3 linked regions of the Rattus norvegicus genome follow. The protein of the gene in region 2 purifies or fractionates together with the protein of the main gene of each other region. This does not show direct contact. Links are inferred from orthologs where the notes say so. Each region holds a gene or a part of one and is shown on either strand. Other genes may lie near its edges.

Region 1 (9,916 bases), on a different chromosome or scaffold from region 2:
GGCAGAGGTGAAGAGAGGGAGAGGGAGAGGGAGAGGGAGAGGGAGAGCGAGCATGAGTGAGTGCACGTGCACACACACACATTCACACAGACACACACCATGGCCAACACAGTCCAAAACCTCAAATAGGAAGAATGAAGAAAACAAACCAACAATAATTCAATCAACCAGAAACACATTCAACAAAATCACAGTAATTAACAAACCCCTATCAATAACCCTAAATGTAAGTAGTCTTAACACTCTAATTAAAACACCAAAGGCCCATGCCTTTAATCACAGCATCTGGGAAGCAGAGACAGGTAGATCTTTGTGAATTCAAGGCCACTCTGGTCTATCTAGTCAGCTCAAAGACAGGTAGAGATACATAGTAAGACCTTGTATCAAGAACTTAAAAAAAAAGAAAGACCAGATGACCAGATTATAAAACAAGATCCAAATCTGTCGTTTTCAAGAAACATACCACCCAGCTTAAAGACAGAATTCATAATCAAAAGAAAATAAGAGATGGCTCAGCAGGTAAGAACGCTGGCTGCTCTTCCAGAACTCAGGTTCAGTTTCAGCACCCACATGGCAACTCACCTGTTGGGGGTTACTCGAGTGCTGCTATGTATTCAAATGCTAAACTCTGTACCCCAAGATCTCATTGCCCCAGGACAAGCAATCCCCATTACATCAGCTTCTGCTATGCAAACATTACCCCCCAATTTAAAAGCATTGGTTAAATAAATGCGGCTACAACCAATTACCGGGAAGAACAGAGAGAAGTGGAGCTTGAGTCCCAGGGCTGGGGTCACAGGTAGGGACCACAACGGAGAAGGAGAAATGAGAAAGAAGGGGAAGGAGGACAGAGAGAACAGAAGGTCTCCATTAGTCATGATGGACCAGCAGCATGTGCCAGGACAAAATGCCTCCCCAGAACACCAGAACACCAACTACTGGAGCAGAAATGACCCAGGAAGAGTTCAAAAGCAAGTATCTGAGGTCCACAGCTGGGGAAGAAGCAATCCAACCATTAGAAAAGTAGATGAGGGCTAATCCCCAGTACCTGCCAAAGCCAAAATAAAAAGTCACAGTTTGAGTCCCTCTCATCTGTGAGTGAGGTAGGGATAAGAATGACCCCCTTTTTTACTCACATCTCTCTGTAACTCCAGTTCTGGAGTTTCTAACATACAGACATACATGCAGGCAAAACACCAATATTCATGAAATAAAAATAATAAAAATAAACTTTAAAAAAAGAAAAGAGGGGCTGGAGAGATGGCTCAGCGGTTAAGAGCACTGTCTGCTCTTCCACAGGTCCTGAGTTCAATTCCCAGCAACCACATGGTGGCTCACAGCCATCTGTAATGGGATCTGATGTCCTCTTCTGGTGTGTATGAAGACAGCTACAGTGTACTCACATACATAAAATAAATAAATAGGTCTTTAAAAAAAAAAAAAAAAAAAAAAAAAAGAAAAGAAGTGGGGCTGGAGAGATGGCTCAGCGGTTAAGAGCGCTGACTGCTCTTCCAGAGGTCCTGAGTTCAAATCCCAGCAACCACATGGTGGCTCACAACCATCCGTAACAGGATCTGATGCCCTCTTCTGGTGTGTCTGAAGACAGAGACAGTGTATTCACATCTATAAAATAAATAAAAATAAATCTTTAAAAAAAAAAGAAAGAAAGAAAGGAAGGAAGGAAGGAAGGAAGGAAGGAAGGAAGGAAGGAAGGAAATAGAGCCTGAAATCTAATACAATTCACAGGCTGTCTATGTACAAAGTGGAAATAGGTCAAGACAGTGGCCAGTAAGATGGCTCAACTGGTAAGGGGACTTTGCAGCCAATCTTGGCTACCTGAGTTTGATCCCAGGATGGACAAGGTGGAAGAAGAGAACAGCTGCTGCAAATTGTCCTTTGGCCACCACATGAGCATTGTGGCATTTCCACAAACACAAAATAAATAAATGCAAACCTGTTTCCCTCCCTTCCCAACCTGCCCCCCCCCAAAGAGGTTTACCAAGCAAGTGCACAAATTAGCACTGACAGAGAAAGCTGAGTGTTACTATTTACCATACAATGACAAAAAACGTTCCGAAGGCATTTTGGAGACCCTGGCTGTCTTTCCAATCATGGAACCAAAAGCTAGGGTCTTAAGGGCAGAAAGAACTCACAGCCCAGTATACCTAGCCTCTGCTCCTCACATCCCAGCATGCTCCATTATTTATTCAAGTACAGCTTGTACTGCAGCTGGAGAAAGCATTACTAGCAGTAACCTGTGGTAGTATCTATGCCTCGTGGTGCTAATTCTGGAGGCATGCAGAATGCAAGAGCTGTGGAGAAATGGCTTCCTCTACCAAAACTTCACAAGATGCACTGGACTGTGGGAGGTTAAACAGGGGTGCAAGGAAAACCCTGATGTAGGAATGGGAGCTGTCGGGGAATCCTCACTGGAACAAGCCCTAGGCCAGGCAGCCACCATGATCTCTAATAGTACAGCAACTGTCAGTGGACAGTGCCTAACCGGGCAAGCTGCAGGCACTGGTATGCCCCCAGCCCAAGTGCATGAAGCATGGACTGTGCCCTGTGGAGCTGTCTAGTATTTTAGAGGCCCAATTCCTGCCCCAGAGTTTCCAAATGCCATATATAGGGATAATTTATCATAGAACGGTAAGACCATGCCTGCCCTCTCGGAATTCAGACTTAAGGCTTTAACAGTAAAGCCTCCTCCTGGCTTTACTTCTCTCCTTTAGAACGGGAATGTCTACCCTCTGCCTGCCTCTGCATTACATGATGAACGTGCATATGCTACTCTCATTGCACAGGCTCACAACTGACCCTGGAATTTTGAGTTAGTACTGGAACAATGTAAGACTCTGGGGACTACTGGGACAGAATGATTGTATTTTACATTATAAGGTCATGAGTTTGGAGGGTAAGGGGTATAAAGCAGTGTTTGAGTAGGCTCTGTCCTCTTCGAAACACCTGTTGAACTTTGACAAGTGACAGGAATTTTCTTGTCTTTTTGAGATTCACACTGGCCTCAAATATGCTATTTAGTTGAGGATGAACTTGAACTCCTTTTTTCTTTTTTTTTTTTTTTTTTTTTTTTTTTCCCGGAGCTGGGGACTGAACCCAGGGCCTTGCGGTTGCTAGGCAAGCGCTCTACCACTGAGCTAAATCCCCAACCCCGAACTTGAACTCCTAATCCTGCCTCTCTACCTCTCCCCCAAATACAGGGGATCTCTTACAGGCGTGTACATCACAATCTACTTTGCAGCAGGGCTTTTCAGTTGTTTAGTTCATTATTATATGTGTGTACATAATGTTTATGTGTCTCGATTTGGGGGAGCTAAAGAGATGGCTCAGCAGCACTTGTGGCTCTGCACCTACATGGAAACCCATAACTATCACTGTCTCTAACTCCAGAGGATCCAATGCTCTGACCCCCACAGTCCAAGGTCACCAGGCACGCATGTGGGTGGCTGGCTGGCACATGCGCACACATGCACACGCACACATGCACGCGCACACGCGCACATGCACGCGCACACGCGCGCGCACTCACTCCTCCAAGTGCTGTGGTACACCTGGGAGATCAAAGCAGGAAGAATGCCACAAGCCCTAGACTAGCATGGTCTACATAGCAAGTTCCAGGCTAGCCAGGGCTACAGAGGGAGATCCTCTCTCAGATAAAACAGCAGCAAACCAATAAACAATAAATAGAAATAGGATAAACCGAAAATAAAACAAGGGCCTAGTAGAAAGTATGACCTGCTCCTATCTTCCTTGTGAAAGTCACATCAGGCTTGAATTTGTATCAGTGACAAACACTTAAATTGGGAAGAAAAGTTCCACAGGTAAAGAACCAAAGAACCAGAGTTTGAGAACTTGGGGGGTGGGGGAGGTATGGTATTGAGGCATGAACTGCCTGGCAATGGAATGCTAGGGAACTTAAATTCTGAGGCTTGTTATCCAAGTGCTGGGGAAGAGAGGGTCAATGGACTCTCTGGCCAGCCATCCTAGCCTGGCTGGTGAGTTCTAGGCCACATGAAAAAAACTTGTGTCAAAGAACAACAAGGCTGACTGTGTCTTCTTCAAGTCTTGCAATACAGCTCTTTTAAATCTTCCAGCATTTCCAAGGCCGGGCAGTTCATGGCTCAAGGCTTATGAACACATTTCTTCTAACGAAAAAAAAAAATCCTCACATTGACTAACTTTCCTCAGCCTTTAGAATTAAGCTGAAGAATCCTCTAGAAAATAAAAACAAATTAGCATTTAGAAAGATTGTTCAGATCATGTGCATGTATGTATGTGTTTGTGTGAGATGAGGTGCTCAAGTGCAGAAGCCATCTCTCCACCCCTAACTAGCATTTAGTCAACACACTCTGTAGTCTCTGTTTTTTAGTCATGGTGATGGGGGGGGAGGGTGTCGAATGAATTTTCTTGCCTAGTACACTAAATAGTTATGAAATGGGAAGTACATGTTTTCACAGATAGAGGAGGGTAAAAAGTAAGAAGAGAAATCATGTGCAGAAGTTTTTGGTGTAAGGACTGGAGCAATGGCTCGGTGGAAGAACTGTTACTTCTATAGCAGAAGGCCTGGGTTTGGTTCTCAAGACCCACATGGTAGCTAATAAGCAGTTATCAGGGGCTTGGACCCCTCTTCTGGCCTCCAATGGCTCCTGCACAGGTGTGGTACATGCACACACTCAGACATGCAAATATACATAACATATTTTTGAAGTCTCGTTGTTTCATTTTTATTTGCCATTCTGTCTGTCTTGTTTGTTTTTGAGATTGTGTTTCACTCTGTAACCTAGGCTAGCCTGGAACTGAGAGGGTAACCCATTGGGATTATGGGTATGAGCCATCACACTTGGCTGTGTCCAAATTTAAGATAAAGTCTATTTCACTTACCTGTTTCTCTGTGTTAAGCAAAGTATAACACAAGACAGACTCTCAAAAGCTTTACTTTTTTTCTTTCCCACTGTCAAGGTGCCTCTTCCATCCCCAGAATGTCACTTCTCTTTGAATACTTACTTTCCGACTCATAGTAGAACTGTAAACCCCACTTCAACAGACGATGCTCTCCAACAGTATGGGTTTTAAACTATTTCTGCTGATACTTTTTTTTAAAGATGTATTTATTTATTATATATAAGTACACTGTAGCTATCCTCAGACACACCAGAAGGCATCAGATCTCATTACAGATGGTTGGGAGTCACCATGTGGTTTCTGGGATTTGAACCCAGGACCCATGGAAGAGCAGTCAGTGCTCTTAACGGCTGAGCCACCACTCCAGTCCCTATGCTGATACTTTTACCTGCAGTGATTGCTCAACAAGCAACTGACAAATATATGATTAAAATAGCTCTTCAATCCCAACCCTGGACCTCCATACCAGGTGAGAACAGACACCCACCCAGACCCCACACCTCAAGGCTTTCCCATTTAACCCACCAAACTACACCCCTAGCTTCAACTATTTTCATTTCGATTGTGTGTTCTTCTTCTTCTTTTTTTTTTTTTTTTTTGGTTCTTTTTTTCGGAGCTGGGGACCGAACCCAGGGCCTTGCGCTTCCTAGGCAAGCGCTCTACCACTGAGCTAAACTAAATCCCCAACCCCAATTGTGTGTTCTTCTAATATCAATTAAACACTAGTCCCAAGACTAACAAAACATGGTCCCTATACCACAAAGGGCTTTCTGATTAATTCGTCAGATGTATCCCGATGTTATGAAGAGCAGAATCACACCTGCATTAGAAAATGGTTTCTAGCCTCTTCTGAAAACTTAAGTCTCTGCAGAAGGGAGCATAGAGAGTGAGCTGGACCATGTCTCAAAAAACGAAAACAACCCGAGCCAGGAATAGTAGTCCCAGATAATCCCAGTATTTGGGAGGCAGAAACAAGCGAATCTCTGTGAGTTCCAGGCCAGCTTGGTCTACATAGTGAATTCCAGAAAAGCAAGGCTACATAGAGCGACCCAGCCCGACCCTATAGCAACCCTCATCCCCACCCCAAGACAAAACAAAAACAAAACAAAACAAGAAAATAACTAAGCCACAGTCTCCTTAGTCCAAATAGTTACTGAACACTAAACTGGTCAGAGTCTGAGTCACGTGGCTCTGCAGCGTGTTTGTGATGGTGAACACGGTTTTGGAGTCAAAGACTAAATAACCCACTCACTGACTAAGAACAGCCTGGGATTCGTTACTAGATGACACTTCAAACACCATATTCTCTTTAGGGTACCTCGTAGAGGGGGAGACGACGATCCATGTCCTTAGGGACCTGGACAACCCTCCCAGATCCTGCATCTAAGAGCTTTCTCTCTCGACTACCCACCCACACCCCGGGCGTGCCTCTCACCTACCTACCCCACCTACTCACGCCCTAGAAAGGATTGTGATCACCCCCAAAAACGCCCTCTCCCCTGTGCGTGACCACGGAGAACGTGGGAAGGACTAAAGGCCCCTCTGAATCACAAGTCCTTTTCCTTGCACGAACTCGACACCGACCCAGGTGCCTTCTACGCTCGCGGTTCCTCACCTGTTCCGCCGACACCGCCCCCTTCCCCGTGCCACTCCCGCCGCTCTTGCCCACACGACCGCTGCTGTCCGCCATCTTCCCCACCTGCAAGCTTTCCGGCCTGCGCACTCCCACTGCGTCACATCCGCTCTAGTGGTTACCGCCCACTTGCTCCTGCGCTTCTGGCTTCTGGCAGCTCTTCAGATCCGACCCTGCGAATGGTTTTGGCTGTGTCTTCATGTAGGACCTACTCCCCAACCCTGCCTGCTGCGGTGAATTCCACCTGCTATGCTTTAACTTGTGCAACAGAGATTCTTGCCCCGGGGAGAGCCGGGGAAGGACGCGCTAATCAGAGGGCGGGGGCTCGGGTTGGGATCTGATCTTGTACCCATCTACCTACCCACCACGAGAATGGTGGAGATCTAAGGAGGGTGAACTTTCCTTCTGAGATTCTGGTACAAGGGGAAAGATACATGTTGAGTCTATAAAGCTGTCCAGGTGGCACAGCCGAGAAGAGAGAATTGGGGAAACGAGGAAGGTTCCATGAGATGACTTGAACTGCGGAAACGTTTGGCAGAGGAAAAGGGCTTCAGTTTTAATGTGAGATCACTGGAAGTTGAGGTATTAAGGCACCGATCATAGTGTCCTCTTCCATTTTCCCATTTTATGATCTCATAACTACTAGTAGTAAAGTGTTTTCGAAGCCTTGGGGGAGGGGATTACTGGCCAGGTCTGGAAATGGCAGAGAATTCTAGAAACTTACAGCTTGAAGGAGGGTTAGGTGTCCTGATTTTTCACCTTCTTCAGGCTGGGCTTCATCACCAGGCCTCCTCATCAACTCCTGTCCCTTCTGTGTACCGGATACCGATTACCTCAAATCTCAGTACTTTGTACTCAGCCCAGGTAACATATTTTATGTTCTTTGTCTAGCACGTAGTTGCTAAGTCCATGTTTATTAACCGAATAGTGGACCTGCCATCCACCAAACATTTAATGCGTGTACTCCAGTAGCTTAGGGTTATTTAATGCTCTGGAAGAATGAAAACAAGTCGCTAGGGTTGGTGGGACACACCTCTAATCCCAGCACTCGGGAAACAGGCAGGAGGATCAACTAGGAGTTTAAGATCATCCCCGCTACATAGAAAGGTCTGCCTGGGCTACAAAAAGACCCGGTCTCAAAGGGGAGGTAAAATCAGAAAAAAAAAAAGTAAGTTTCCGGCTCCACCCCCACTTGAGCCTCCCAAGTTTCTCCGCGGCACGCGGTAGAAATCCTGAGAAAACTGCCTGTGTCATTCACAGGCCCAGAGCCATGGCAGAGTCCTCATCGACTTCCTGGGAGCTGCCCCTGGTGGCTGTGTGCCAGGTAACATCAACACCAAACAAGCAAGAGAACTTTAAAACGTGTGCTGAGCTGGTTCAAGAGGCTACCAGACTGGGCGCTTGCCTGGCCTTTCTGCCTGAGGCATTTGACTTTATTGCACGAAATCCTGCCGAGACATTACTCCTGTCCGAACCACTGGATGGGGACCTTTTGGGACAATATAGCCAGCTTGCCAGGTACAAGGGTAGGGTGGGGGTGGGGAGGGGTAGAATCCCTGTTGGGCAGTGTTCCTGGATTGCCACATAGAGGGGGTAGAGTTGTCAGTGTCCCTCCCCCTCAGGGAATGTGGAATCTGGCTGTCCTTGGGTGGTTTCCACGAGCGTGGCCAAGACTGGGAGCAGACTCAGAAAATCTACAATTGTCATGTGCTTCTGAACAGCAAGGGTGAGACTTCACAGTCCTTCAGCTTGCCTCTTCCTAGGCTCATCTACCTTCTTCCAACTCAGATCTTCAGCATTTTTCTCAACTGCTTGGCTTTAGGGGTTTTTTTGTTTTGTTTTGAATGCTTCTGTTCTTAGCCTAAAAATTACTCTTTGGGAGAAGAGCTAAGCTGGACTTCCAGTGTCTGTACTGAGCATTTTCTCTTACTTTAGGATCAGTAGTGGCCAGTTACAGGAAGACACATCTATGTGATGTAGAGATCCCAGGTCAGGGGCCTATGAGAGAAAGCAACTATACCATGCCTGGATACGCTCTTGAACCACCTGTCAAGACACCAGCAGGCAAGGTAGGAGTTTGAAAAGAAAATAGGAATATGTTGAAAAAGTTGTAACATCTCCCTTTGGTGTAGGATGATGGAGGTAGTATTCAATGTTACGTTGACCAGGACAGGGAAGATGAGTGGGTTGTTTCTCGTTTCAGGTTGGTCTAGCAATCTGTTATGACATGCGGTTCCCTGAACTTTCTCTGAAATTGGCTCAAGCTGGGGCAGAAATACTTACTTATCCTTCAGCCTTTGGATCTGTTACCGGCCCAGCCCACTGGGAGGTAGGAGAATGCCTCTTCATAACATATAGGCCTCCTTTAATCTTATTTTTAGTAGTGGGGACAGAGTAGCACAAACCTAAACTCTAAGCACTTCAGGGGATAGCCACAGGTTCAAAGCCAGCATAGTGATGCCTCGAGTAAAACAGAAAACAAAATAGAAGCTGGGCAGTGGGGGTGCACACCTTTAATCCCAGCCCTCAGGAGGCAGAAGCAAGTGGATCTGAGTTCAAGACCAGCCTGGTCTACAGAGTAGGTTCCAGGACAGCCAGGGCTACACAGAGAAACCGTCTCAAAACAAAACAAAACAAAACAAAACAAAAGTAACCCACACCACCCAAAATAGTGGTGCATGGTGGTGTGTGCTTTTTATCTCCGCACTGTAAGGCAGAGGCCGGCAGATCTCTGTGGGTCCAGGCCAACCAAGGTTATACAAGGAGACCTTATATAAAAAAATACAAAACACAAACACACCCCTCCCCTTCTACTTGAAGGATTTTCTTCCCTTCCGATCTGGTGAGGAAATTCGTTTCTTAGATAGGTGTGAGTCATGTTATAGTTAGTTACTAATTCTAGTTGATCAATAGTCAATGAGTAGATTGGGCCCACAGTGTCCGCTTCTTGTCACTCGCCTATTAAATGCTGTATGTTCCTGAGTACGCACGTCTCATCCTCAGGTGCTGCTGCGGGCCCGCGCCATTGAGTCTCAGTGCTACGTGATAGCAGCAGCACAGTGTGGACGCCACCATGAGACAAGAGCAAGTTACGGCCACAGCATGGTGGTTGACCCCTGGGGCACAGTGGTGGCCAGCTGTTCCGAGGGACCAGGCCTTTGCCTTGCTCGAATTGATCTCCACTTTCTGCAACAGATGCGCCAACACTTGCCTGTGTTCCAGCATCGCAGACCTGACCTTTATGGCAGTCTCCTGCCACTCTCCTAATGTTTTTAATTTCTGTTGGTTGAGACAGACAAACACACGCCAACTGTGAGGTGATGCTACCGTGACTTGTAGGCTGGACCCAAGCACGGTTCCCTT
Region 2 (9,667 bases):
ATGGGGGGGTCACTGCTAATGGAACGGGGCTTCCTTGAGGTTGACGAAGACATTCTAGAAACCAAGCCTAATAGGGGGGAGGGGTGGTGGCCTGTCATCCTGGCTGACCCAGAAAGATGACAAGTTCAAGGTCAGCCTGGGCAACTTTGTGAGACCACAGCTGAAAATAAGTGGAATTGGGGTGGGAGGCGGGGTGTGGGGGAGAGCAGGTCCCAGCCATGGTTGGTCGGATCCCAGCTTGAAGGACGGTTGGAAGGCAGAGTTCATGGAAGGATCTTGTAAGATGGATTTTAGAGATGGAGAGTTAAAAAAAAAAAAAAGAAAGAAAAAGAAGAAAAATGACCTTCAATCTGAACAATGAAGTGCGACAATCACTCAGGGGAACAGGGACACAGGGACTGTGTGCACTTGGGGGTTTATGGGCAGAGGGAGTTCTGGGATGGAAGATTCATGGGTCTGTTACTCAGCAGGCTCGTAATCGCCAGTGCAGGGTTATCAGGAAGGGTGGATGTGCCTCTGGCAGAGGGGAGGTTCCTTAGTTTATGAGACATCCCACTCAGTGTGTTTATGGTTTAGGAGGCCACCACACTTCAGTCTTCCTTATCACCATTTGTCTGGATCCGGGCTGCAGGCAGTTGTTAGTGGCTTGGCCACATTCCCACCCCAGTTCCTTAAGTCCACCTTAGCTCGGGAGTCCTTATCTCTTCTCTCCTCCCAGGCAGCATGGTGACCAGGAAGCAGTGTCACAGGAGCCAGCCCAGAGCCTCGGGAGCACTTTAAGGTGACTTCATGTGACCCCAGGCCCCTCTCAAGCCACTCAGACTGACTAGTGATATTAACCAGCATATGTTGATTTAAAAAACTGGGAGAGGCAGGGGTTGGGGTGGGGTGGCCTTGCATGCCCTTAATCCCTGCACTCTCTGGAGGCAGAGGCAGGAGGATCTCTGAGAGTTGGGGTTCAGCCTGGTCTATATAGCAAGCTTCTGACCAACCAGAGCCAGAAGTTTTCAGAGACCAATGTAAGCTCTGAGGACCACACAGAACTCAGATCTCTGCCTGCCTCTGATTGCCAAGGGGAATAAAGTCATGTATTACTACATCTGGCCTTGTGTGTGTGTGTGTGTGTGTGTGTGTGTGTGTGTGTGTGTGTATACATTGGTGGTTTTACCTACATTCATCTCTGTGTAAGGGGGTCAGGATCCCCTGGAACTGGAGTTACAGACAGGTGTGAGCTGCCATGTGGGTGCTGGGAATCAAACCTGGGTCCTCTGATAGACTAGACAGTGTTCTTAACCACTGAGCTCCCTCCCCAAACCTTGACCTTTTTTTTTTTTTTGGTTCTTTTTTTTTTTTTTTTTTCGGAGCTGGGGACCGAACCCAGGGCCTTGCGCTTCCTAGGTAAGCGCTCTACCACTGAGCTAAATCCCCACACCCCCCCCTTTTTTTTTAGTGGAACTTTTTTTGTTTGTTTTTCAGAGTTTCTCTGTACAGCCCTGGCTGTAGACAGCAGTTTGGCTGTCCTGGCTTTCACTCTGTAGAGCAGGCTGGCCTTGAGCTCCAAGAGCCGCCTGCCACTTCCTCCCAAGTGCTGGGATTGAGTGCCACCACCACCCTGAGGACTGGGGTAGGGCTGAGCTGGCTGAGGGCTCACCGAGCATGCCCAAAGCCCTGTTTTCTGTCTCCGGCACGGCATTCAGCAGGCTCTGCAGTCACACGTGGGATTTCAACATTCTGGAGGTTCAGGCAGGAGAATCAGTAGCTGAAGGTCATCCTGATAGCTAAGGGTTCCTGACAGAAGTTCAGGCTCTCGTCGTCGTGAGCTTCTTTCCTCTCAAGGGAGCCAGTCCTCTGAGGCGTGGCTATGGATTCTGTTGGTGACTTGTCTCTTGAGGTTGCCTGATAGAAATTGTCCCCTCTACCGGCTCGTCTGTAATTTTCCTTCAGCCCTCACCACATGGACCGAGTGACATATATACCTGCCGTTTGGCATCTAGAAAATTATGACACAGGGGCTGGAGAGATGACTTAGTGGTTAAGAGCACTGACTGCTCTTCCAGAGGTTCTGAGTTCAAATTCCAGCAACCACATGGTGGCTCACAACCATCTGTAATGAGATCTGATGCCCTCTTCTGGTGTGTCTGAAGACAGCTACAGTGTACTTATATATAATAAATAAATCTTTAAAAAAAAAAAGAAAATTATGACACACGGTGTGGGCATAAACATTTAGATCGTTCCATTGGCTTCCCCAGGAGTAACACGCACGGTATGGGCCAAGGTCTGCTGGGCTCCTAAGGCTGCATAGAAGGATTTATTAAACAAAAGACTGTGGTTTCAGGCTGCCCCAGTTCTAGTCCTGCCCCTTGGAACTTCGCTGTGTGACTTTCAGCAAACAACCCAGCCTCTCTATGCCTAACTTTATCTGTAAAATGGGAATGTTGGGAATATATCATCTCTAGGCTTGTACCAAGGACGCCATGAGCTGATTTTGTTTTGTTTCAGACAAGGTTTTGCTCTCAGTCTTGACCAGCCGGGAACTGGACTCAAACTCACAAAGATCTGCCTACCTCTGCCTCCCTGGTGCTGGAATTAAAGCCATATCTAACTCAGCTCAGCTTTGAGGTTGCTTTTTTTTTTTTTTTTTTTTTTTTTTGTCAAATGTTTCATTACATTTTATTTTGTATGTATGTCTGCTCAGAGGTCAGAGGACAACCTGTGTCAGGGATGGACCTCAAACTGGTTGGCAGACTTGGTGGTTATCACCTTTACCTGAAAAGCTGTTCAGATAGCTTCCACATTGAGACAGTTTCTGGTTCATACTAGGAAGGGTGGTGTGTGTTTGTCTCTCCATCCCACTAAATGAATCTCCCCAGGGAAAGAAAGGCTTTCCCTGTCTTACTCAACCTGCTCCACCCAGAATAGACACTCTAAATGTCTCCCGAGTGAATCTGGCTTACATATCCCTGCCCCTACGGTGTCCCGGGGAAGATACCCTGCCCTGGAGGAGTCCACGATCCCAAACAACTCCGTGAGGACCACTTTGACCTCCACAGATAGTCACAGCAAGGCCTGACATCGACTCCAGGATGTCAAGATGCCCGGTGAGCTGGTCCCCTTGGTGTTATGAATGACCATTTGTGTAACGGTGGGCAAAACCACAGCTTAGGACAGTGAGTTGGTGAGTGGGCAAAGTGGAGCAGAGGGCTGAGGGGAGCTGAGGCGAGTCCTGAAGTTCCACTGCCCGCGGGCCGGCAGGAGAAGAGGGGCACAGATCTGGATAGATCTGGATGGGTGCATCCCACACCACAATGCGGCGCCGTGGGAAGACAGAGCTTGCAGAAAATGAATCTCTAGATGGGGAAACCACCTCGCAAGGCATGCATGGAAAGGAGTCTTCCGATCCTTCCTGCTTTGAGAAACATGATGAACTGGAATGGGGACTGGGGGAGAGAGTACTTTGTAAACTCTGGAGTGCTACTGGGAGAGATAAATGGGTCAGATGGGTGTGCATTTCTTCCAATATGCAGCTAGCCTGAGTGGCAGCAGAGTTGGGGACCCCTGGGTGAAGGGGTGCCCCTGGGGAGTCGAGGAAGCTAGAGGCAAGCAGCCGCTGAATGTGCTGAAACCTGGAGCGCACAGCAGCCTCTAACATCCGCGTTCCTAGCGCGAAATGTGCAAATTCCCATTTTCTCTGCTCCGGCGCGCTCATTCAACCCAGCTCGGGCTAAATGCAGGGGAATCTCTCCGTTATTATTTAACTTTCTGAGTTCAAGGAAGACAATTTGAAAGATAGATAGCATCCCTTACAGAATTCTCCCAACCTCTCTCTAAAAATGTAAAATTGCAGAAATGCACACAAGAAGCACACACATTACCGAAATAATGTGCTACTCACGATGGATTAACATTTTGGGCTTATCTTGGGGTCTTCTTTTTTCCCCCAAATATTGGATCTTAGGTGCTTTATTGCAGAATTACTAAATCTTGCCAGTGCTGGGGCTTGAACCAAAGATCTCACACATACTAGACAAGAGTTCTTACCATGGAGCCGTGTATTTAGCTCTTCCTATTCACCAATGAGCCGGAATATTTGAATCCCCAACGCTCCAACCTCCTCCTCTTTAGGGTACTCCACGGGCAACCCCACCCCAGATTGGTTCCGAGGGGTGACTCCCTAATGGGTTCCCACCCGGCCAGGTCGACCGACTTCTGTCTCAAAGCAGCAGAGTCGGGAGGAGAGGGTGACCCTTGCAGCGCATAGCCGCCGGTCAATGCCCATCTCCAACTCGCGCGCGCCAACTTTGCAACTTCACTCTCCCGCCACGGGGGGGTCTATTTCCCCCGCCCGTTTGGCGGAAGGATCCCGCGCGCTGTTGCAGCGTCGCTCAACCGTCTCTGCCCGGGCTCCGCCCCCCGTGGGCCAAACCCCGCCCCCTCCTGCAGATGGCCCCGCCCCCTCCCGCGCGCCCTATGGGCCTGTAAAGAAGTCCCGGCCCGGCCGCTGCACTCCCGCGCGCGCATCCGTGCGCCGCCCGAGGCTGGCCTGAGGAGTCGGCGGCCATTTTGTTCTTCTCGTGGTTCCAGTGGCGAGAGGAGGAGGAAGCCGGGAGCGGGGCGGCTGGGGGGGGGACCCGCCGCGGCTGCTGCTGCCACCGCCGCCGCCACCACCGCTCGTGGGGCTCGTGGCGTGAAGAAGGAGGACGAGTGAGACCCGGGCGCGAGCCGGCGGCGGCGCCGCTGCGGGAGGGTCGGCGGCGGGACGGCGATGGCGGATATCGATAAACTCAACATCGACAGTATCATCCAACGGCTGCTGGAAGGTGAGCGGCGCGCGGGCGGGCGGGCGGGCGGCGGGTTGGGCCGGTGGGGACCAGGCCCAGTAGAGGCCGGTCTTTCTCGGGAGCCGCTTGGATCTGGGGCGCGCACACAGCGCCTCCCGGTCTGGGGACCCTGCCTTTTTGTCACCCCCCTGCCCTTGCTTTCACATTCTCATTATCCGGAGTCCAAGGACCCATCAGTGTGACTTGGCAGGGCGACGTCCCAGTGCGATGAGAGCCCGTCTCCTTCATTTTCCTCCCCCAACCCCCCCACACCCCAAAGCCATCCTCCTCCCTCCAGTGCTCTTTCCCCTTGAACGTGCATCCGCACACGGACCCAGCCCGGGTGACTGTGGCTCTCTGCTCATCAGATTGTTGTCCTGAGGACAGGGGGACGCTGCTGCGTTCAGCGAGCACCTGCCAGGTAGGTGCTGTTATCCTGGAAGTGTGTTTCGCAAGAGAAACTTCAAAAAGACCTCGCTGGACCAAGGATGCAGTTAACAATCAGGTTTAAAACCCCGGGTTGCCAGGACCGAGGTAGAACCTGCCACCTTTCCACCGTTCACCCTGTGGGAACACAGAATTTCCAGTGGTTGAGTAAAGGTTAAAAATACAGCTTTCCTTTTGTCCAACCTGGGGCGGGGGGGACGGCTCTGCAGTGGATTCCTACTTTCGATATTCAGATTTTACATAGGTCTGAAAACCTGCTCCTCACAAATCCCACAGCGTATCTGCTAAAGCTAAGGAGAAGGGGAATCCAGTAACCTTCTTGCTTTCACTGCTTTTGCCTAAAATATTGGTGGAGTGGTGGACAGCTGCTTAATTCTGGTGGTAGATGTTTTCAAGTCGCTGAAAGAAAAGTCAAAAAGTGTGTTTTTTGTTTTTTTTTTAAATGGTCATTTCCCCCTCTCTAATGCTGTGTTCTGTTTTGTTTAGATAGGGTTTCTTGGCTTTGGTTTTATAGAGACATGGTCTCTCCAGTCCTGGTTATCCTGGAGCTCCATGTGTGGACCAGGCTAGCCTCAAACTCTCACAGATCTTTCTTCCTCCCCCTCCTCATTGATGGCATCTTCTGTATCACCATGCCTCCTAGATACAGGGTCTCAGGAGTCAGAACTGGCGTTAAACACTGATCCTTCTGCCTCCTCCCAAGTACTAGAATTGTATAGACCACTAAGCCTGACTTACTTGTTTTTTCCTGTGGAATGTGTGGGATGCAGGCAGACCACAGCACACATGTGTGTGGATGCAGGCAGACCACAGCACACATGAGGAGGTTGAGAGGACAGTTGGGTGTAGTAGGTTCTCTCCTGTTGTTTGGATTCTGGGAATCAAACGCCGGTCAGGCTTGCAAGGCAGACTTTCCACTGACTAAACCATCTCATCAGCTTCCCTTTCTCCCTCTTTAAAAAAAACATTTTCTATTTGCAAGAATTTGCCTGCATGTATGTATGTGCATCATATGCTGAAGAAAAGGGCATTGGGTCCTTGGGTACTGAAGTTACAGGTAGACCTGAACTATCACGTGTGGGTACTAGAAGTGGAGCCCAGATTGTCTCCAAGAACCGTCATCACTTCAGTCCCCCAACCATCTACCCCCATCTCCCCGTTTTCTGGCTGGTCTCTGTCTCAGCTGTCCACAGTGTTGGAATTAAAAGCTTTCACCACACCTGGCTTCCCATAGTTTCTTAGTTACTTTTTAAATTTTGAGACTGGATATTGCTGTGTCCCAAAGGCTGGCCTGGATTTCAGAGATCCGCCTGCCTCTGCCTCCTGAGTGCTAGCATTCAAAGCTGTACTATCATGTCTGGCCTGATTTATTCTTTTCTGTTGAACTTAACAGAGTAAGCCACCATTTAAATAACATTGAGAGTAACTAGCTGTGTAGTGCATGTGTGTGTTTCTTACTTATGGAAGTGCTTGACAGAGGCCACAGGGATCTGATCAGAGGATGATGGGATTGCATTCTTTGTAATGCCCTCAGAAACGGCTCTGCGGGTTTTGGCTCTTGTCCTTAATTCTGAAGACTCGATTTGATCTTCAGGACCCACATGAGATTCAGGAGAGAACTGGAGGGTTGTCCTCTCCCTTCCCTCCATCCACAACTGCTCTAGCAAGTGTGGCGCTGCACACATGCACACACACATAAGAAGATATAAAAGGAACTACGGGCCTAATTCTGAAAGGGAGAGATAAGATTTGTCACCTGATGAAGCGGTGTTTCTCCATATTGGTAATTGATACCTTTCAGTCAGGGCAGCTTGCTTACCCCCACACTGGAGTGTGAGGCATGAAAAGCCAGAAGTTCTAGGGCAGGGTAGCAAGAGCTCATATGTGGAACCCTTCCGTAAGATCGTCCAAACTAGGGCTGAATGAAGGAGTTGAGAAGGGGGTCTTTTAAAGGTTAAGGCGGCACTGAGCACACACCTTTAATCCTAGAAGGAAGAATTAGGAGGCCAGTCTGGTCTATATACCAGATTCCACACCAGTCAACTATATGTAATAAGACCCTCTCAAAAACAAAACAAACAAAAAACCCACAAACCAAACCAAAGGCTGAGGTCTAGAGGGATGGCTTAGTGGATGAGAGTGTACATTACTCACCCAGGCCATCCAAGCTCAGCTCCTGCACTCAGCAGGTGCCTCAAGGCTTGTTACTCCAGAACTGGGGTCAGACACACACACACACACACACACACTCACACTCACACTCACACTCACACACACGAATACATTTTAAGCTGGGCATCGTGACACATGCCTTTAATCGAAGCACTGAGAAGCAGAGGCAGCTTGATCTCTGAGTTAAAGGCCAGTCTGACTTAGAGATGAGTGCTAGGCCACCCAAGGCTAAGTCATGACCTGGCATAGACCTGTAGTCGCAGGCACTTAGGTAGAGTCAGGAGGTCAAGGCTAGCTTAGCTTCTACATGAGTTCTTAGAGGCAAGTCTCAACTACAGAGACAGACGGGAGACAGGGTTTGGTTCATAAGCACTACAGCTTTGCAGCACTCTAAATGCAGTAGTGTTTCCCTGAGCCAGTCACCCTGCAGGTGTGTGCCACTCCTCAGCGCCGTTAGCTACACGCGAGAGCAGAGGGACTTAGACAGAAAACAGACAAGCTGTGTGTGAACTTAGCACCCTGCTCTGCTATTTTGGTGGGAAAATGGGAATTGGGGTGTTTTCTTCGTGAAACTTGTAGCGTTTCTTGACTAGCACATGATTTTAGTTTGTTCACATGGCAGTGTGCAAGAAGGATGTTTGTGTAAAGGAAAGTCATTGTCAGTGTAGGCTGGGAAGTGGCTCTGCTAATACAGAGTGCTTGCCAGCTCTCATCCCTCTGAAGGCCCACCATTCTCTTAAGTAGCTTGTGCGTGTGGCTTTTCAGTGCTCCTGCTCTAGAGTTTCTAGAAAGCCAAGGGCCTAAATGAAAGATTTAAGTGAGGATGGTCTTAAAGCAATCCCTAAGCTGAGCAGAGGACACACAGCAGGATCATTAATAAGGGGCATCCTGCCCTCCTTGTGCGTGGATAGGCGTCTGTCCCCATACTTCACCTGGCAGGCAGAGCAGGACCCTCCCTCTCCTGGATCTGTAGGTGTGGGAGTCTTAAAAAATTCTAATTTGGGCGGGATATTGGTGGCACAAGCCTTTGGAGGCAGAGGCAGAGTGATTTATAGAGCTAGTTCAAGGACAGCCAGGGCTACATACAGAAACCATACCCCCACCCCAAGTATGACTCCCAGAGCCTTCACTGCCCTTTGCTTATACAAGGCTGGGCTGCAGGACTGACTAGGCAGGTGGGATGCAGCCAACCAGCTCTCAAAGAAGGCAGGTGTAAGGGCCATAGGGAGTGGGTTACGGGTGGTCAGTACACTTTAATGTCTGAGGGAAGTGTGTGTGTGTGTGTGTGTGTGTGTGAGAGAGAGAGAGAGAGAGAGAGAGAGAGAGAGAGAGAGAGAGAGAGAATGAGTGTGTTTCACTGCTTTGATTTATGCTGGGTTTTGTGGCATACCGCACGGCCTAAATATGAGGGGAGAAAGGTCAGATGGGAACTGCCTCATAACTGAGGAAGTACCACAGGATACTTGAAGTAAGGCAAATCCCATTTCCTTGAGCTGTATAATTCTGGAATGAATTTTGGTCTTCAGTCTTGAGGTCACAGTTGTGTCAAGAGTGTGAAGGCAGGGTACTGCCTTCTGATGATGTTTCCCACCTCTGTGTCCGGGTTACTGACATTCTTGCCTTCGAAGGGTGTGTTTTTAGGACCTACAGGAAATAGAAGCACATAGATAGGGTCCAGTGTGCAAGGCACTGGTGCTGAGATGTGTTCAGCTGGGGAACAATTCTCTTTCAAGACAGATTCTCATGCTGCCTTCCAGTTCCTACATAGCTGGGAATGACCTTGAACTCTTGATCCTCCTGTCTCCCACCACTGAGTAATAGATTGTAGGGTGACAGTCCAGGGTCTGACTTAAACAAAACACACTGTGATCAAATTTAATTAGTGTTCATCATAGAAGACTAGATGTGTCCTTGGGATATTTTTTGGTTGGAGCTTTTTAGCCACATCCTGGCTGCCCACATAGAGGAAATCAGTGTTATCCTTAAAGTCCAGAGTGTGCATGGCGGCGCAGTCCCCAGCCAGGTGGAGGAGGGGGTGTGAGACAGACAGTGAGGTAGAGCCATGGTTTTTTGCTGTTGAGAGGAAAGGGGGTTCTTGAAAAGTTTCTTTAGTTTACATATTTTGTAGAAAATACTTGGTTGTTTGCAAGAAAGTATACCGTATGGCAAGTACTAAGTTTGGTTTAAGATCTTTTTCTACGGGACTGGAGAAATGGCTCAGCGGTAAA
Region 3 (9,819 bases), on a different chromosome or scaffold from region 2:
GAGCTGGGGACCGAACCCAGGGCCTTCTGCTTGCTAGGCAAGCGCTCTACCACTGAGCTAAATCCCCAACCCCAGGAAATATTTTTTTAAAAGGACAAAATTTGGTTACCTGTAGAGACAATCTTAATTACAATCTAAGTTATTAGTCAGAATATTTAGATTTAGGTATATGTATGCATACTGTTTATACTATCCTGAGACAGGGTCTTGTCATGTAGCCCTGGTTGTCCCAGAAGTCCCTCTGTAGACCATGTTGGCTTTGAACTCACATAACTCCACTGCCTCCCAAATGCTGGGACTAAAAGCAAGTGCCACCATGCTGGCATGGGATGACGTTTCAATCTGACGTTTCAATCTGTTCTCAGGAAGTGGACAAGGAGTACCCACTATGCACTAACTATACTGATGCAAAATACAAGTTGAAAAGGCACAGGTCCTGCCTAAAGAAATCTAACAGGTTAGCGATGAGGCAGTCACATAGAGAAGACAGAATAGCACACTCAAACCCAACTAGATGAATAAGAATAACTTTCTTCACTCAAAAGATTCTGTTTTAGGCCAAGACGTTAAGAATTTGCCCATAGAACAAAGGAAAGGGGAGGGGTAGTACAAGGCAAAGAGACCTTTATACAAAATAAAATATGAAAATTTAGGAGATTTTTATATATTAAAGGAATTCAGAATTACTGAGTAACTTGAAGACAAATATGACAAGTAGTAAGTCAAAAGATGCAAGGAAAAGCCATTAATTAACTCGTTGATTGCTAAGGAGCTCCCATTTGATTTTTTTTTTCCTCTAATGAGGAGCACTAAAGTTTGAAGAAACTAAAATGAACAGCTAAAATTGTAAGACTGTCATTCTGGGGCTGGGGAGATGGTTCAATGGGTAAAAGCAGCTTCTGTGCAAGCATGAGGACCTAAGTCTGAATCTCCAGCACCCTTAGAAAATACAAGCTATAGCCACATATACCTGCACCTCAGCATCAGGAGAGAGAGGCAGATGGATCCCCAAAGTTGGCCTGGCAAGGCTAGCCTAGCCAAAAAGGCAAGCTTCCAGTTCAACGAGACATTTTATCTCAAGGGAAAGAAGAGGGCACCAGAGGAAAACATCCGCTGCCCTCCTCTGGCCTCAACATGCACAGGTGTATACTTCATATCCATGTGTATGCAACACACACACACACACACACACACACACACACACACCCCATTCCTACTATCACCACTAACAGAGGGGGGTGCAGATATATCACTCTGACAGCAATGTGGAAGGACCTACAAAAGAAAGGCACATAAAGAGTAAAGCAGTCTTCCAGGCAATCTGATTTTTTTTTTTTTTTTTTTTAGCACGCCAAGAAGACTGACTAAAATGCAATAGCTTAATTTAGGCGACTGATAGCAGACTAACTTGAGTTCTAATAAAAAGACACTAGAGAGGTTGTGTTTACCATTACTGGAAAAAAAATAGAAACTGATTCTATGGGGAGAAAAAAAATAAAGTGTGATAAAGACTAGCATCAGCCTAATTCCTTTGTCTCTTAAACTTGATCATATTTATCATCGACTAAAGAAGGACAGACAGAAGCTGAAGACAGCAAGATACGTTGGTGTGGCCCACAAAACTCCTTTGATCCTTTCATATCCACAAACACAGCTTTCAAATGTTCTCTTTGGGGTGGAGATAGAGATGTAACTCAAAAACACTTGCCCAGCACATAAAATGGCCCATGTTTCTGCACTACAACTCAAAAGCAAATGACCTAACAAGAGAAATGTGCTTCTGGAAATAATTATGGTACTACAATTACTTAGAACTTTCTGGAGTAATATTGTCCCTCCTCTTTCCACATCCACAACCTGTGTACGTGTCTGAAACTCAGACACTGAGTTCTTGGCTCTCCATCTACAATTTCTTTGATCATAAGACTCACAGTAAGACATTCTCTAAGAGAAAAATGAACTCTGAATAGAAAACACATCTTCTAAGCCTTAAACTTTCAATGTTTCTCTCCACAGCTTCAAGAGCCCACAGACACAGCTTATCCCTGAGTGGATTTTATTCTCCATTACCTTAGCTCCTTGTTCTGGTTTGGTTTGGTTTGGTTTTTGTTGTTGTTGTTGTTGTTGTTGTTGTTGTTGTTGTTGTTGTTTTGATCTTAAATAACTTTCATTTAGTATGTTACTAGAAAACGTGCAATTCAAATAAGCCAAGAGACAGTCTTCATAATATAATAAAGCATAAAAATTTATTTTTACAGTATTATCTTCCTATCAAATAATAGTATTTCATGACTGTAGGCATATTAAGCAAATATTTAAAAAGTTATCAATTAATTCACAGAGAAAAAAAGAAATGTCTAATACTTAAGCTAGCTTCCAGTATTTGCTACCTTGCTCAGATTTGTGTTAGAAAAATAAACAGCCACCTGTACCAGCTTGCTCTAAGTACTAGAAAGGAATCTGGGTACCATCAGTAAAAATATTCTCCTTAACTTTGGGTGATTCTGAATCTGAACCAGTATAATTCAGCTAGAGTACCCAAGTAGTTTCCCTCAGATTTTAACTGTATTTCAAGAAGAAAAAATAATATGACAAAGAATCTTATACATTGTAATGCATAATTATTACAGTATACATTCAGTATCAACCACTTCAGTATTTCCCTTTGGAACTCCTGTTATTAGTATATTCCTATTTAGAGTCCACTTCCTTCTTCATTCAAAAAATCATAATTATTTAGGAAATACTAACGGGATAAAGTCAACTATAGCAAGAAAGGAAAGCTAGCATGGCAGGAGTAAAATTCAGTGGTGAAGTGCTGGGAGTGTAGCTTAATATAAAGAATATACGCCTAGTAAACACAAGGCCCTGGGTTTAATCTCTAGCACCACTGGAGGAAAAATATTAATAACAGCCAGACAAAGCGGCACATGCCTTTAATAATATCTATCACTATGGACGCACAACAGAATGGATAAGTCAGTGTCAACTGGGGCTGTTTCAAAAAAAAAAAAAGTCAATGATACTATCATAAACCACTGAAGGTTTAATAAATTTTTACAGTAAAAATGCAAACCAAATTACAAGTAAAATATTATCAGTACAAACTTCAAGTCTATCAGTACAAGTCTAAGTCTATATTTCAATCAATTTCTTGAGGATAAGAAGTTATATAGTTTTATATCCTGAAATGGTTTGTCCATAATTAATACGTTAAATACCCATAATATCAACAAATGTATATCAAAGTAAAAGAGTGTTTGGTTACATGAGCTATGTGAGACATAAGGTAACCAGAAAACATTTCTGTGAACAGAATGGCAGAAATGATTTGCAAAGAAAACAATTATCACAGTCGTGAGAGATGACAGCCTACTTTCTAAACGAGTGAGGCTATGTGAGGAGTGTGGAGTGCACTATTGTTCTTTGTGCTTTATTCGTCTTTGTGCATAAGTAATACCTATAAAACCATGGTTTAAGTGCTAAGAAAAATCTGAGCAAACATTTGTTTGGAAGAGTTGATTATTCAAAAGATCCAACCCACTTTTGCTAATCCCATTAAAACAAAGATCCTAAAATGTAAGTATGTAGGAAAAATAATTTCTTCTTGATTTTCCAAATAAACTTAGCAATAAAAGTTTACCCGTCCTTTTTTTAGAAATACCATGAGGTATATGTGTGTATCAAACTACCTGCATGTAACTTTTTATCTCTAAAGATCCGCCTCAAAGAAAACATGGCTATAGATATGCCTTTAACCACATGAAAAGTTCTGAATAAGAAAACTTATTGCTTATAATCACAGAAAAAGAATTTAAAAACAAATACCTAAAAAGAAATTTTTCACTATAATCATTCTTTACATAGGTGTAGACAGTTTATCCACAGCTGAAGTATTTGCTTTGTGATGGATCTGTGCATTTTAAGCCCAGTACATCTTGTCAATCCTAACGTGAGGGGACAATCCAAGAGAGTGATGAAGGACAGTCTGCAGCCAGAGTCTGGAGGCAGAGTTTCTAAATTGAAACAGCATTTCCAATTCCCAGCTACATAATCTTTGGCAAATTGATCTGTTTCCATTTCTCCTGGGTAAAATGGAAATAACAATATATACCTCAAAAGGATTTTGTAACTGTATAAACAATGTACAGGACTGGCACAAAGTGTGTGCTATATAAATGTAACCTATTACTAGAAGTAATAGAATCCCAGGTTCTAGAACATACTGTAAACATTTTTAGCAATCAGAATCGACTAATATCACATACTATCTAAAGGGACGTTAAATCTCAGACCTGGCTAACATATGTTCCTAGCCATGCACTTTAAAGTAAACAAGTGATTAATCAATCTGCATAGCCACTCCAGTGATAAAGAACGGTCTGAAGACTGTTTCCCAAAAGTGCAGCTATCAATTTCTTCCCTTACACAAGGGGGCAGTGAGAACAAGAAAAGAACAGGGTTCTGCAACACCTCTTCCTACAGACAGTAGGGGGTGGCAGTACATATATGGCTTACAGTCAGAACAAAACAGGAAGACCCAACAGAACTAACTGCTCTTTATTCTCTTCTGGCCTTCTTCTCTCTTTAGCCTCAACAGAGCCTCAAGGTAAGGGAAATATATCTACAGAAAAGACTAAAATTCAGAATTAATCAAGGAAAATCCAATTTCGATTTTGAAGGAAATGATCCCTCGATGAATGAATCTAGAGTCAGGGCAAAGCCAATCAGTATGAATTTTCAGATATCTGGGAAATCACTATAATAAAAACAACATTCACACAGGTAATTCGATTTATAGGAATTCCAACATAACACACTAAAGTGTCATTAATAATTAAATACATCCTGGTGAACGCATCAGATAGTTCTGCTTTTGTTTCAGTTACACAGATACTCAATGTATACACATGTTATTTTTACATAGCTCATCTAGCTGTCTTTTGTTACTTTTGAAATTACAGTATGTTCTGACAATTTTCTCCAAACACAGATGTTCTTAAATGAAGTCACAGCGTTTTGCAGCATGTGGACACACACACACACACACACACACACACACACACACACACACACTTAGAAAGATGGGGTTGAGGGAAGGAGGAAGAAAGATAAGGAACAGTTGTTTCATTTGTTTTTGGTTTTCCCTCGAATCCCTAATATGATTTACCTGGTAAACGCTACAAGGAACACTACATTGACAGTGTCCATGTTGCTGCGTTTTATGCCAATTTACTGTATACCGTTTTTATCTTATCTCATCATCCCATCTCAACAGCTAAAACATACCAGAATATTCCACTATTGCCAGTCTCTGTAATTAGCCACTGCCATAGCTTTTGGCTCCAACCCTTCCAAATGCCTGAAAATTTATCCCTTTTGTTCACCATATTGTTTTGTTTTCCTTGTTCCACTTATTTTCACCTGTGTAAAAGCCAAGGCACGGACACAGATGAAAAATCATTCCCTTTGCCTAAGGATCCTGAGCACACAATTGTGGTCAGGATGCTTGGCTTGGTTGTCTTTTTTTGTTTGTGGGGTTTTTTGTTTTCCTGGAGAGAAGCAGAGAGAGAAGGAAAGACATCCAATCTTTTCCTAATGCTAATGATCATTGTTTATGTTTTCTGGGAAACATTTTAAACATTCCACACCTGGAACCGAGAGACAGGCTACAATTGCATGGGTGCTCTACCTGCTGATGACAAAACCTGAAATGATTTTTGCCCAATTTTTTTCTTTCCCATCTCACAACCAGACAATCTGCTTTTTTTTTTTTTTTTTTTTTGCTTTCACGTGGGTACTTTCCCTATGTCAAAAATCGCAGCTCCTCTCGATCTCCTACGACAGAATATGTAGCAAAGAGCCCTATTAGTCTTTTATTATAGTACACCTCCTTCCCCAAAGGAATTATTCATATCCCTAATAACACTTCTTCCATGCATTTCTATGCCACGGAGGCCAGCCTAGCCTGTGCCTTTACCTGGCACATTTCACAACTACTTTTATGCTGCATTCAGGGACACATTTTGCAACTCGTTCTGCACCACATTCCCTGCCACGTTTAGCAATCTGCCTCGCATCTCATCCCGGTCCCCGTCATCCAAGACTCTCCAGGTACCCAATACCAAGACTAACCTCGGTGACAGCCAAGTGGCAGACCCCAGGAGTCCTCCGAAGCCGCCCTCGATCCCACATTCAGAGGCAGCCTGCCTTCCCCACGCCTTCGACACCGGAGGCACTTCACTGCCCGTTTCCCTGTCTCCCCGCTCGCCCCAGCCCCAACCCCGCAGCTGAGGCGTCGCAAGAGAACGCCCCTGTCACCTCACCCTTACCGACCCTTCTTCCCTGCTCCTCCAGCCCTTACCTGCCGCTCTGAGGGGCGCGGCGCACCTCGGGGTCAAGCCCGCGTGCCAGTGGTCTCCGGTGAGGACCGCACGGCCCGCGGACGCCCCACGGAGGATCCGCGCCTCAGTCGGGCTCGGCGGGGCCTCGCGGCCGGCGAGCGCTGGCAGCCCGCAGCGGTCCTCCTGTCAGCGGAGGCGCGGGGACAGGCTCGCCCCTCAGCACCGCGGCGGCGGCGGGCGCCTCGCTCCGCCTCGCGCGCGGCACAGCCGGGAGGTGAGCGCGAGGGGGATGGGAACGGGGGCGGGGCCGCCCGAGGAGGCGCGCGGGGCGGCGGAGGGAGCGCGGCGCCTGCCGCCTGGGGCCCCGCGCTAGCGGCGCTCGCAGCTGGCCGCGCTGGGCGGGCGGCTGGCGCGAGGCGGCTGTGGCCAGCGGGCCCCGCCGGAGCAGCGCGCGCCCAGCAACCCGCGCCCGGCCGGCCGCTCTCTAGCGCCGCCGCCGCGCCGGGGGCGTCGCACCCTCGGAGGCCGCCCGCAGCCCCGCCCCCTCCGGGCCGGGTTGGGGAGGAGCGCGAGCGCGGAGGGAGAGCGCGTGCGTGGGGGCGCGTGCGTGGTGGAGCGCGCGCGCCCCCGCCCCCTGCCCCTCCACGGCCTGGGGGTGGGGAGGCGTTGCGAGAGAGGATGGTGGTGAACCCCCGCGCTGCGCTGACAGAGGGGGCCCTGGCGTTGCAGGACGTGTAGGCATTTCTGGTTTCCTCAGGGGGCTTGGGCTGGTGGGGTCGAAGGCATTTGGTGAGGAAGAGGAGAGGAAGCTCAAGAGCTGACAAGGCCCTGAAGAGTTTGGCCCCGCCCTCGGGATGATGTCACTCTCGAGGTGGCTGCTGCTGTCACGTGCGCCCACTTCTGGGGGCCTTTCCTCCTCCTTTGATAGCCCGAACGTTCCTCTAGACTGTCCCCCACTTTGGTCACCACAGGCACACGTGTCACTCAAAGTCATCGACGCCAACAAGTGTCAGTTATTCCTCTCCTGCTTCTCAGTGGCAGCGTGTAGACTGCTTTCAGGATGCCACCGTTGCCTTTGGAACAGGGATGGGAGGAAAAACAACAATGGCTTCGGGCGGGGGGGGGGGCGGGGGGAGGGTAGGGTAGGCGTAAGGATAATAGAGAGGAAGAAAGAAAACTGTCACCTAGAACAATTGCTGACAATTCTCTAACCTTAGCTTGCTAGACTCGGTAAAGTTGCCATGCTGCCTCTGTCATTACCAGCTTGAATAAGAACTAATGTGATTTCAAGGCACCCAGCAAAGAATAGAAAGTCATCACATTAAGACCCCATTGGAGGATATTCAGTCATGTTTCTCCCCAAACTCTCCGCCTAGATTTTCTTTAGCTTGCTTCCTTCCCTTCACACCCCGAAAACACCCCTTCAACTTGGCAGGATTCTTGGAGTAAAAAAAAATTTCCCCACGTGCTGCAAGATGATACAAAGCAATCACCGTTGCATATTTTGCTTGGGTGAATTTCCGTTCCATTAACTGAGATGACTTTTTCGTCATCTGCTTCCTAATGAAATGCCATGATTGGAAATAGATTCACAAATTGCATCAATAAAGGGCGTTGTTTCAGTGCAGTTTAGAAGGTGAAGATGTTGGTTGATTGGTTGGTTGGTTAGTTTGATAACAGTTCATCTGAGTCTACCCCAATCCCATAGCACTTTGTTGTATAATTTCTTCGATTTAAAAAAAAAATTGTCTCAATTTCAGTGCAATACCAAAAAAAAAATGAATATGAAGTCATATCGGAAAGCGAGCCATTCCAGTGAAAAATTGAGAACTCTGAGGTAGAACTCAGAAGAATGTTTATGGTTAGCACGGCAAAGTGAAAGGCTGACATATGGACTATTGGTACTAGTTCCAAAAGTTAATTCAGTCTAACTAAAACCTACCTACCCATGGTGATATGAGTAGGGTACTAATAACTTATATTTGAGGTCGGTGAAGGGGTCATCAGAGGGGAATCTTCTGGATTATTAGAATGGTCAACACTGGTTAATGGTCACAACCTGCATACACTCCTTAAAAGGAAACTGTGTCTTTGTTTCGGCTTTAGCCCACAAAGAAACGTTACATTTCAACAGTTTCACATTGAAACATTACGATGCTTATCTTCGGAGTCAGAAAACAGGTTTGGTCAGTGTCACCTTCCACTTACCTTGGTATATAAGTTTAAGCAAGTCTTTGAAACGTCTTTTCTTCATCTGTCTGGAATGGGTCATGATACCTCACAGAATGGTTATGAAATTTAAACAAAACTTTGAGAAATATTTAGCATAGAATATAGTGCCCAATAGAGTGTCCATGGAACAATACCAACTGTTACATTGTTTTTACACTTGAGTTTACCCTCCATCCTCCTCTTTTAGTCTTTTCATTTATTTTACAGATTATTTTGTATCTAAGTCTTTCCCTGTGAGTTTTGCTGAAGCTAATAACATTCCTTCCTTTGAGAAATAATAAGGCAGTCAGGGGTATAATATGTCGCTTTTCAAACTAGTTCAGGTGGCAGCACCTAGAAATTATGGTGTTCATTGTGGAGCACCATGAAATATTGGTAGATTGAATTCTGCCATATGGACTTGACACAATTTTACCAGCCCTAAAGTTGGTTATATTATGCTTATGCAGATATTCACATATTAAAAAATAATATTTTAAAAGAAATAATATGTCTGTTATTCCCTTTTTAAATCTGTTTGCAACTTTTTTTACAGGGTTTAATAATAATTCACAAAATGAAAATCTTTAAACCCATTTTCCTGGCAATTGGAACACCACTGTAATCATCCAGTTTTAGCAGCTGATCTCTTTATTGGATTCTTGCTGATAGCTGTAACCCACATGGTCTCTTGCTCCAATAAAGCACCTCTGAACTCATTTCTTTTGACTGACCTTTTCCAGACCCTATATTCCCATTGGGCGGTGCTGGTGTCCACCGGAATGAGCTCAGTTTCTGTTCTGGTCATCAACGTACTTCACCCAGTGCTCTCCCACATAACCCTGCAGTCAAGCCTAGGAGTTTATTATTACAGTCTGACTTTGTGAAGGAAACAATATGTGACTGCTAAGGGTAGGAATGTGGTCCAGCAGAGGCAGAGAACAACACTGAAGCCATCTCTCTCCTCAACCCCTCTAGCAGATTCCCTTTGCTTCCCTATAATCAATATTCAAAATATTGGGAATCTAATATTTACTTAATAAAAACACATTCTCATTAAGAAGGTATTTTAGTCTATAACTTAATTTGGGAAACCAATATATGCCCTGTAAATTTCACTTTTGTTTCCTCAGGAGGGATAAGATGTGATCAGTAAGTACCTAAGCCCAGTACCTTGGGCTGAGACCAGAATGTTTCCTTCTCTGTTTAAACTATTGCTAAGCTGAAGTCTTGAAGATCTTAGCCTTGTTACAATTTAATCTTC

Evidence for each region.
Region 1: the proteins of Ppp1cc (region 2) and Pfdn2 purify together in Homo sapiens (affinity purification with mass spectrometry; 4 studies listed by BioGRID and IntAct, with this or other methods). This does not show direct contact. The link is inferred for Rattus norvegicus from reciprocal best matches to the Homo sapiens genes PPP1CC and PFDN2.
Region 3: the proteins of Ppp1cc (region 2) and Tanc2 purify together in Homo sapiens (affinity purification with mass spectrometry; 3 studies listed by BioGRID and IntAct, counting the BioPlex papers as one, with this or other methods). This does not show direct contact. The link is inferred for Rattus norvegicus from reciprocal best matches to the Homo sapiens genes PPP1CC and TANC2.

What each region holds. Positions count from the first base shown.
Region 1 is NC_086031.1:86,302,532-86,312,447, reverse strand, and holds the start of Pfdn2 (prefoldin subunit 2), read right to left. Parts: upstream 6,621-9,916; 5' UTR 6,611-6,620; coding exon 6,536-6,610; intron 1-6,535. Other genes in the region: Nit1 (deaminated glutathione amidase), read left to right, coding at 6,753-6,754, 7,322-7,417, 7,814-8,071, 8,176-8,279, 8,489-8,622, 8,757-8,882, 9,557-9,820. UniProt on the Homo sapiens protein: Binds specifically to cytosolic chaperonin (c-CPN) and transfers target proteins to it. Binds to nascent polypeptide chain and promotes folding in an environment in which there are many competing pathways for nonnative proteins.
Region 2 is NC_086030.1:40,056,147-40,065,813, reverse strand, and holds the start of Ppp1cc (serine/threonine-protein phosphatase PP1-gamma catalytic subunit), read left to right. Parts: upstream 1-4,512; 5' UTR 4,513-4,765; coding exon 4,766-4,820; intron 4,821-9,667. UniProt on the Homo sapiens protein: Protein phosphatase that associates with over 200 regulatory proteins to form highly specific holoenzymes which dephosphorylate hundreds of biological targets.
Region 3 is NC_086028.1:91,049,868-91,059,686, reverse strand, and holds the start of Tanc2 (protein TANC2), read right to left. Parts: upstream 6,621-9,819; 5' UTR 6,365-6,620; intron 1-6,364. UniProt on the Homo sapiens protein: Scaffolding protein in the dendritic spines which acts as immobile postsynaptic posts able to recruit KIF1A-driven dense core vesicles to dendritic spines.